Macaca fascicularis: one gene and its partner. The protein of the gene in region 2 purifies or fractionates together with the protein of the main gene of each other region. This does not show direct contact. Links are inferred from orthologs where the notes say so. Each region holds a gene or a part of one and is shown on either strand. Other genes may lie near its edges.

Region 1 (3,724 bases), on a different chromosome or scaffold from region 2:
AAAACTAATAATTTGTCAACTTAACACATACACACTCCATTAGGAACTCTTCTGTAATATTCTCTTCTAAAAGCTGTTCAACAATATGTAGAGCTTTTCTTTCAAATTCAATCTTCTTTCTCACAGCTGCTTCTAGTTCTGCTTTCCTAAAATTTGAAAGAGAAAGTTAATCTACTTATAAGCTTCATGTCCAATATTCCATTTTTTAAAATACAACACTAACCTAACTCACTATTTTGCCACTTAAATTTAAACATATTTAAAAAATTTTTTTGAATAAAAATATTTATTTCTTTTTAGTTGTAAAGACAAGGTCTCACTATGCTGCTTAGACGGGTCTCAAGCTCCTGGCTTCAAGTAATACTCCCACCTCGGCCTCCCAAAGTGCTGGGATCACCAGCATAAGCCACCATATCCGGCCAAATTTCTATTTTCTAATGCTGTTACTTTTGATCCAATACTTTTCAAAAAGGAAACAAGCTACTTTTTGCACTGCACATACAGAAATCTTTATATACTCTTTGTCTGGTTAATGTCTACTTAGCATGCAGGTCTCAGCATAAGGCTTTCCCTGAAAACTCACAACTAACCTCCTTGCCACCCACTTCCAACTAAATTAGACTTGATTATTCTTTCTCGTAACATCACAGCCTTTTCCTTCATAGTGCTTATCACAATTTGTAATTATGTGTTTATGTTAATTAACTATTATTTATTCCTCTGTTCCACTAGACAAGAATTGTGTCTATTCTGTTCACCATATCTTCAGAGCCTAACACAGGTCTGGTATATCTTATACTCAGTAAATAATTTTTGAAAGAATGAGTAAATTAAGACCAAAGTCAATATAAGATTAATAAGTCTTCACAAAATGAAAATCATAGCTACATATACTTTTAATACCCTTCACATTCTATTCCTCTTCTAAAACTTTGTGTGATATGTGGTAATATCTTGCCTTTTGAGAACCAGAACTAGTACAAGACAGCTTTTTTCTTTTTTTGAGACAGAGTCTCACTCTGTTGCCCAGGCTGGAGTGCAGTGGCGCGATCTCAGCTCACCGCAAGCTCCACCTCCCGGGTTCACGCCATTCTCCTGCCTCAGCCTACCGAGTAGCTGGGACCACAGACGCCCGCCACCATGCCTGGCTAATTTTTTGTATTTTTAGTAGAGATGGGGTTTCATCGTGTTAGCCAGGATGGTCTCGATCTCCTGACCTCGTAATCCACCCGCCTCGGCCTCCCAAAGTGCTGGGATTACAGACGTGAGCCACCATGCCCGGCCAGGACAGCTTTTTGATGAAAATCTGGACTTGATGTAACAAAGAACAGAAAAGGTTTCTTGGAGTGACAGAGAAACTTGGAGAGTGAGTCTCTGGCATATAAAGCAATAAAAGGGGAGTGTACCTGAAGTGGTGAAAAACAAACACCTTCTACAGACACTCACGCCTTCACTAGCAGTCTGAGTGCTTAGTTTGGTTTTCTTAAAGCCTGGAGTAGAGGAATGTTAACAGTCTATGTGAGAATTTATAGGCCTTCCCAGATCTTTCCCTTCCCTCTCATGATAATTTTCTCTAAAAATAAAAAAAGGTAACTATTAGTTTTAAAATTGGTACAAGTAATATGAGATAAGTAGATATGCCATTGTAGTTGTCCATGTAGCTGTCATACCTTTTAGAAGCATCTTCTTGTTTCAAAGTAGTTGTCTGTTTAGTACCTACAACAAAAATACAGTCATGTGCCACATAATGACATTTCGTAAACGACGGACAGCATACAGACAGCGGTCTCATAAGACTAAAATACTGTATTTTTACCGTACCTTTTCTATGTTTAGATATACAATTGCCTACAGTACTTAGTACAGTAACATGCTGTGCAGGTTTGCAGCCTGGGAACAATAGGCTGTACCATATAGCCTAGTGTGTAAGTAGGCTATACCATCTAAGTTTGTGTAAGTGCACTCTATCATGGTCACATAAGGATGAAATCGCTTAACAACGCATTTCTCAAAATGCATCCCCGCAGTTAAGCTACACATGGTGGCAGTAGGTCAGGCCTACACAAACACATTAGGTACAAGATAGATTCCTACACAAATAACAAACTAGACGAATTTTTCTTCTTTTCCACCTATTTTATGTCCAATCGTGTGTAAATCAAAATGAAATAGGTAAAGGGCAAGCAATTTGTTTTTGCAAATTGATTACTGTCTAATTTTTCTTGGTTAAAATGTATCTCTTTGGGGATTGAATTTTCTTCTGTATCATAGTTGCTTAATCATTCCTGAAAATCTGAGATCTGGGTACTTTTTAGGGAAACCTCTCTCTCCGTCTGCCAAACGTCCTCTTTGGGAGAAGAGGGGAGTCCGGCACCTCAAAGAACGGGGCACCCAAGCAATCTGGAAAGGAGGACCGGTCCTAGGTTCAAGACCAGCTGCCAACGCTGCCCTAGTCACTTGCCCCGAACCCCGGGGACCCTAGGCCTGGGTTCCCGGCGCCTCCACTGTACTTTCTCTCAGAGGCTGGGGCCATGGCCCGCGTGAGGGAAATCTTGCAACACTGGCGTAAAGGGGTGAGGGCCGGCCAGGAGATCTTTCCCAGGGGGAGCGGACGGCGGTGGGAAGCTTTCGGCCTTCTCTACCTGGGAGAACCCCTCCCCTGAAGCAGCCTTTCAGGATCGCCCGTGCGCTTCGGTTTAGAACTCGAGATCGGGGTCCAGCTTTCAGGGTCCCAAAGTGAGAAGACATCCTTGCTCCTACCTGTGGCTTTTCGAGAGCGGCGAGGAGCCCCGGCCTTGCGGCCGGCAGAACCCGGCCCAGTACAGTCCGCCATCGGGGAGAGTAGTCTGCGGAACCCGGACTAGCTCCGGCGTCTCGCCCCGAGGCCCCGCCTTTCTACGCGTAGCGCGAGGCGGACCCCGCTGGCGTGGGGCGGGGCCAGAAGAGCGGGCTAAGTGGCCGGAGGAGGTGGTGGCGGCTGGGAGAGGCGAGAGATCTGGCCGGTAAGTGGAGTAGTGGAGAGGTTCGGGGTGGCCAGGGCTCGCGGTTGGCCGTGAGCCGCGGCGGACTTGGTGCCGCGGGCCGACTAGGCCACGCGAGGTGGTGGAGCCTGCACACCTAGGCGAGCAGGAATCGGAAGACATGGCTTCCTCTGATGCCGCCAGCACGCGCGCTGGGGTGTTATTCGCCTTATAGCGCGCTGCGCTGAGAACCGGGCTGACCCGCGCCACTACTGAGGGTTTGGGGCTGAGTCTTGCCTCCGGGAGAAGCGATGGTCTCCTCCTGAAGGCCGCCGTTGCCTTGCCTCCGTGTGATACAGTGATTTCACTAGCTGGATTGATCACTTTGGGTACTGCAACTCCTAGAGAGAAATGGGATGGAGGGCATCTGAATCTTCACCCCCTATAGATAAACTTGTGTTGCACCCCAATTTTTGTGAGGTGAGACATTAAAAAATCCCCTAATGATTAGAATTTTGATTTCAGGTCCACCTTTTGGAATTTTTTTTTCATAAAAGAAGTACTTTGCTTTTTAAAAGCCCTTTAGTTCGTATTTGCCTCGCCTCTTGGGAGTACTCGGGAGTTTTTTCTTTTTTTCCTTCAAAATAGCTTTCAAAACTATGCTCCTAGAAAACTTAAAAGATGCAATAAGGGCTTCTTAAAAAACACTTTATTTTCTTAGACAAACATACTAAGATTCAGTAATAACATTTCAACCTTAGAAC
Region 2 (3,749 bases):
CCATTCTTGCTGGGTTATAAGTTCTTGTTTGAAAATCTAACCTGAATTTAAGGCATTTCAGTGATAGACTGGATTAAGAAAATGTGGCACATATACACCATGGAATACTATGCAGCCATAAAAAAGGATGAGTTCGTGTCCTTTGTAGGGACATGGATGCAGCTGGAAACCATCATTTTCAGCAAACTATCACAAGAACAGAAAACCAAACACTGCATGTTCTCACTCATAGGTGGGAACCGAACAATGAGATCACTTGGACACAGGAAGGGTAACATCACACATCGGGGCCTATTGTGGGGAGGGGGGAGGGGGGAGGGATATCATTAGGAGATATACCTAATGAGTTAATGGGTGCAGCACACCAACATGGCACATGTATACATATGTAACAAACCTGCACGTTGTGTGCATGTACCCTGGAACTTAAAAGTATAATTTAAAAAAAAAAAAATCTAAACTGAAAAACAAATTCACTCAGTCACTCTAGTGCATAAGAATAAATTCACAAAAACCTTACCATTTAAATAAAAACATGGGAACTATGCCTAACTACAAGATGGCCAATATTCTGCAGAGGACTTCAGCCACCCTCTCCATTTGACTATCAAACGAGGTGATTAGATATAGTGCGTTGTCAATTTCCGCTTGAGCCTCAGTTATAGGTTGCAGGTACAGAGCTGGAGTTATCAAAGATGAATTTTAGAAAATCTGTCTCTGTTTAAAACCTTTTAAGTGCTCATACTCAGTCCCATTGCCAGGAGTGAAACCCAAACCTCCCGTATGACAAATCAATATCCAAGCCGACAGATCACACGGGATCTTCCTTATAGACCAGAACCATAGTCAATTCTTAGGTCCTTTTAAATATTAAACTCTTCACTTCCTCTCTCTACCTCTACCTGTGCGTCGCGCCTAACTTAGAACCGCCAAATCCCATTAAATCCCACCCTCACCAGCGACGCACGGTCTCCATAGGCTCCACGCGCCGCTTTTGCAGTCCCCCATTGGCCGGTTTATTGCCAGATGGCCTGCTCCCACGCCCTAGTCATCTTTGATCTCCTCGGATTCCGTGAAGCCCCGCCCTTCTCTTCTCCCCTTTGGCCCGTCTTCCCCAGCTGGCTATTTGGTTGGCCAGCGCGCTTGCCACTTACGTCATTCACCCGCGCCACCCGGAAGCCGCGGTTCCTACCAACCGTTTTTATTGCTGGCGGCCCTGAGGTAAAGGCCGCGCTTCGGTGTCCCTGGGTGGCCGGGTCCCCGAGTTGGGAGGGGCGGAAGGCTGAGCCCCCAGCTTGAGCCGGACAAGTCGATTCCCAGCGTTGAGAGGGTAGAGATGAACTGTGTGTGAGGCCAAACTGGAGCGGTCAACGTGGTCTTCCCCCTCCCCACTCCCCAGGAGCCCATCATGGCGACGCCCCCTAAGCGGCGGGCGGTGGAGGCCACGGGGGAGAAAGTACTGCGCTACGAGACCTTCATCAGTGACGTGCTGCAGCGGGACTTGCGGTGAGTGACAGTGCAGAGGGCGGGGCGTCTGGAACATTCCACGTGGTGGGTGGGGCGTTCAGAGTTAGGGCCAACCCTTTGGATTGGTGGGCGAGGCGTTCAGAGTCCGGCCCCGCGCTCCTTGGAGCGTGAAGTGGTGATGATATCCGGGGTGCAGTTTGGCTGGGACGTGGCGTTCATAGCAGGGGGCGTGTCAGCGCATGCGCGGCCTCCGATGTTTGACGGATTAGGGCTTGTTTTCTGGAGCCACAGTTCTCAGGTTCGAATCCTGGCTCGGCCATTCTTCATCCTTGTGAATACGTCATACCTCGCCTTTCTGTGCCCTATAAACTTCTCTGTGAAATGGGGAGTTTTCTGGAACCTTCCCCATACAGTGGTTTTGAGTTTTTCATATGTCCCATCTTTGTAAATAATTTAGTAGCATGGATGCCTGAAACATAGTAGAGGTTAAGTATGAAGAAATATTATTGCAATTTTTGTTAATCTAAGCAAGAAGTAAGGTGTTCAGAACTAGGACTATGAGCATCCTAAAAGGGATGGAGGATTTTTCTAGGGTGAGGATGGGACATTATGATTGGAGTTCAGTATTGGGAGTGTAGTAATAGTAATAATAGCTAACATGTAGAGAGTTTACCATTTGGTAGGCATTATTCTAGATGCTTTGAGTAAATGCTCATTTAATCCTAATGACTCTACAAGGTAATACTGTCATCTGCATTTTATAAATGGGGAAACCAAGTCCCAAACAGGTTCCTTACTTGCCAAAGCCACACATCTATAAAGGACAGAGCCCAGATCCAAACCCAGGCAGTCTGACCCAGAGCCCAAAATTAACTTGTACACTAAAAAGCCTTTTCAGCGTATGGTGACGTGAGAGTCTCAGAGGGTCATGATATGAGGTATACTAGGAGGAATGGGGCTGCCTATTGGTCACCATTGTACTTTCATCCCATCAGAAAGGTGCTGGACCATCGAGACAAGGTATATGAGCAGCTGGCCAAATACCTTCAACTGAGAAATGTCATTGAGCGACTCCAGGTAAAGACTATGGGGTTGGGTATCATTTTTTTGGTGTGTGTGGGTAAGGGAGGGAAATGGGAAGAGAGACTCCAGAGCCAAACCTGTCACCTGACCTAAGAGTTCACCACTGACCCCTACCTCTTTTTCCCTGGCCCCACAGGAAGCTAAGCACTCGGAGTTATACATGCAGGTGGATTTGGGCTGTAACTTCTTCGTTGACACAGTGGTGTGAGTGTCTACCCGCCCCTCTGAGCCCACAGGGTTCAGCTTACCCCTTCCCTCATGCAACATATATTTTTTTGAGTATCTTCTATGTACCAGGCACTATACAAGGTTTATTATCCCAGTAGGATATAAGCTAGGCGCTGGGGATGTGACAGTGAATAAAATAGGACAAAATCCCTGCCTTCCCAGAGCCTCAATTTGGGGAAGGGTGGGGAGCAAAACATACACTCTGCTAAACAGTGATAAGGACTTCCCCCGCACTTCCTCTAACCTCTCTTTCCTCAGCCCAGATACTTCACGCATCTATGTGGCCCTGGGATATGGTTTTTTCCTGGAGTTGACACTGGCAGAAGCTCTCAAGTTCATTGATCGTAAGAGCTCTCTCCTCACAGAGTAAGTCCATTCCATGAGGATAGTGTGTAAAAATACCACCATTTCCAACACTCTTCTCCCTTTCCCCATGGCTGCCTAGAATGATACTTAAGGACTCATCTCCCCTCCTCCTCAGAGCTGGGGCTGAAGAAATGTGGTTGCAAAGCCCATGTATAGCACATAATAAGCATTCAAAAAATGATCTTTGTATCGTTCATTCATGCAGACATTTATTGGGAATCTTCTGTATGCCAGGCACTGTGCTTAGCAGTGGGAATGCAGCAGTGAACAAGACAGAAGAGTTCCTTGAAGGCTTAAAATCTAGAAGGACTATACTGTTATACATAAATACAATTATGACCAGATCCATGAGGTCTCAGCCTGTTAGAGTTGGTAACAAGAAAACTAGTTACCTGTGATTTCACTTCCTGCTAATTTTACTATTCATTCACTGTGTTCCTGCCACACTGACCTTCACATGCTTCTTTCAGCACCCCAAGAATGATCCCACCCCAGGGCAATTGCCGTAGCTGTTCTCTCTGCCTGCACTGCCCTTTTCCCCAGTACCCACATGGCTTCCTTTCTCCTCACTCATCTCGCTTAAATGTCGCTTCCTCGATGAGGCC

The links. Proteins that work in one complex are often made in the same cells at the same time.
Region 1: the proteins of UXT (region 2) and RPAP2 purify together in Homo sapiens (affinity purification with mass spectrometry; 4 studies listed by BioGRID and IntAct, counting the BioPlex papers as one, with this or other methods). This does not show direct contact. The link is inferred for Macaca fascicularis from reciprocal best matches to the Homo sapiens genes UXT and RPAP2.

Annotation. Positions count from the first base shown.
Region 1 is NC_088375.1:142,136,099-142,139,822, forward strand, and holds the start of RPAP2 (putative RNA polymerase II subunit B1 CTD phosphatase RPAP2), read right to left. Parts: upstream 2,858-3,724; 5' UTR 2,834-2,857; coding exon 2,761-2,833; intron 1,717-2,760; coding exon 1,671-1,716; intron 147-1,670; coding exon 32-146; intron 1-31. Other genes in the region: GLMN (glomulin), read left to right, coding at 3,372-3,440.
Region 2 is NC_088395.1:47,757,431-47,761,179, reverse strand, and holds the start of UXT (protein UXT), read left to right. Parts: upstream 1-1,154; 5' UTR 1,155-1,196; coding exon of another isoform or gene 1,197-1,408; coding exon 1,409-1,506; exon of another isoform or gene 1,507-1,515; intron 1,516-2,462; coding exon 2,463-2,544; intron 2,545-2,686; coding exon 2,687-2,754; intron 2,755-3,036; coding exon 3,037-3,144; intron 3,145-3,378; exon of another isoform or gene 3,379-3,516; intron 3,517-3,749. Other genes in the region: uncharacterized protein, read right to left, coding at 1,197-1,410. UniProt on the Homo sapiens protein: Involved in gene transcription regulation. Acts in concert with the corepressor URI1 to regulate androgen receptor AR-mediated transcription. Together with URI1, associates with chromatin to the NKX3-1 promoter region.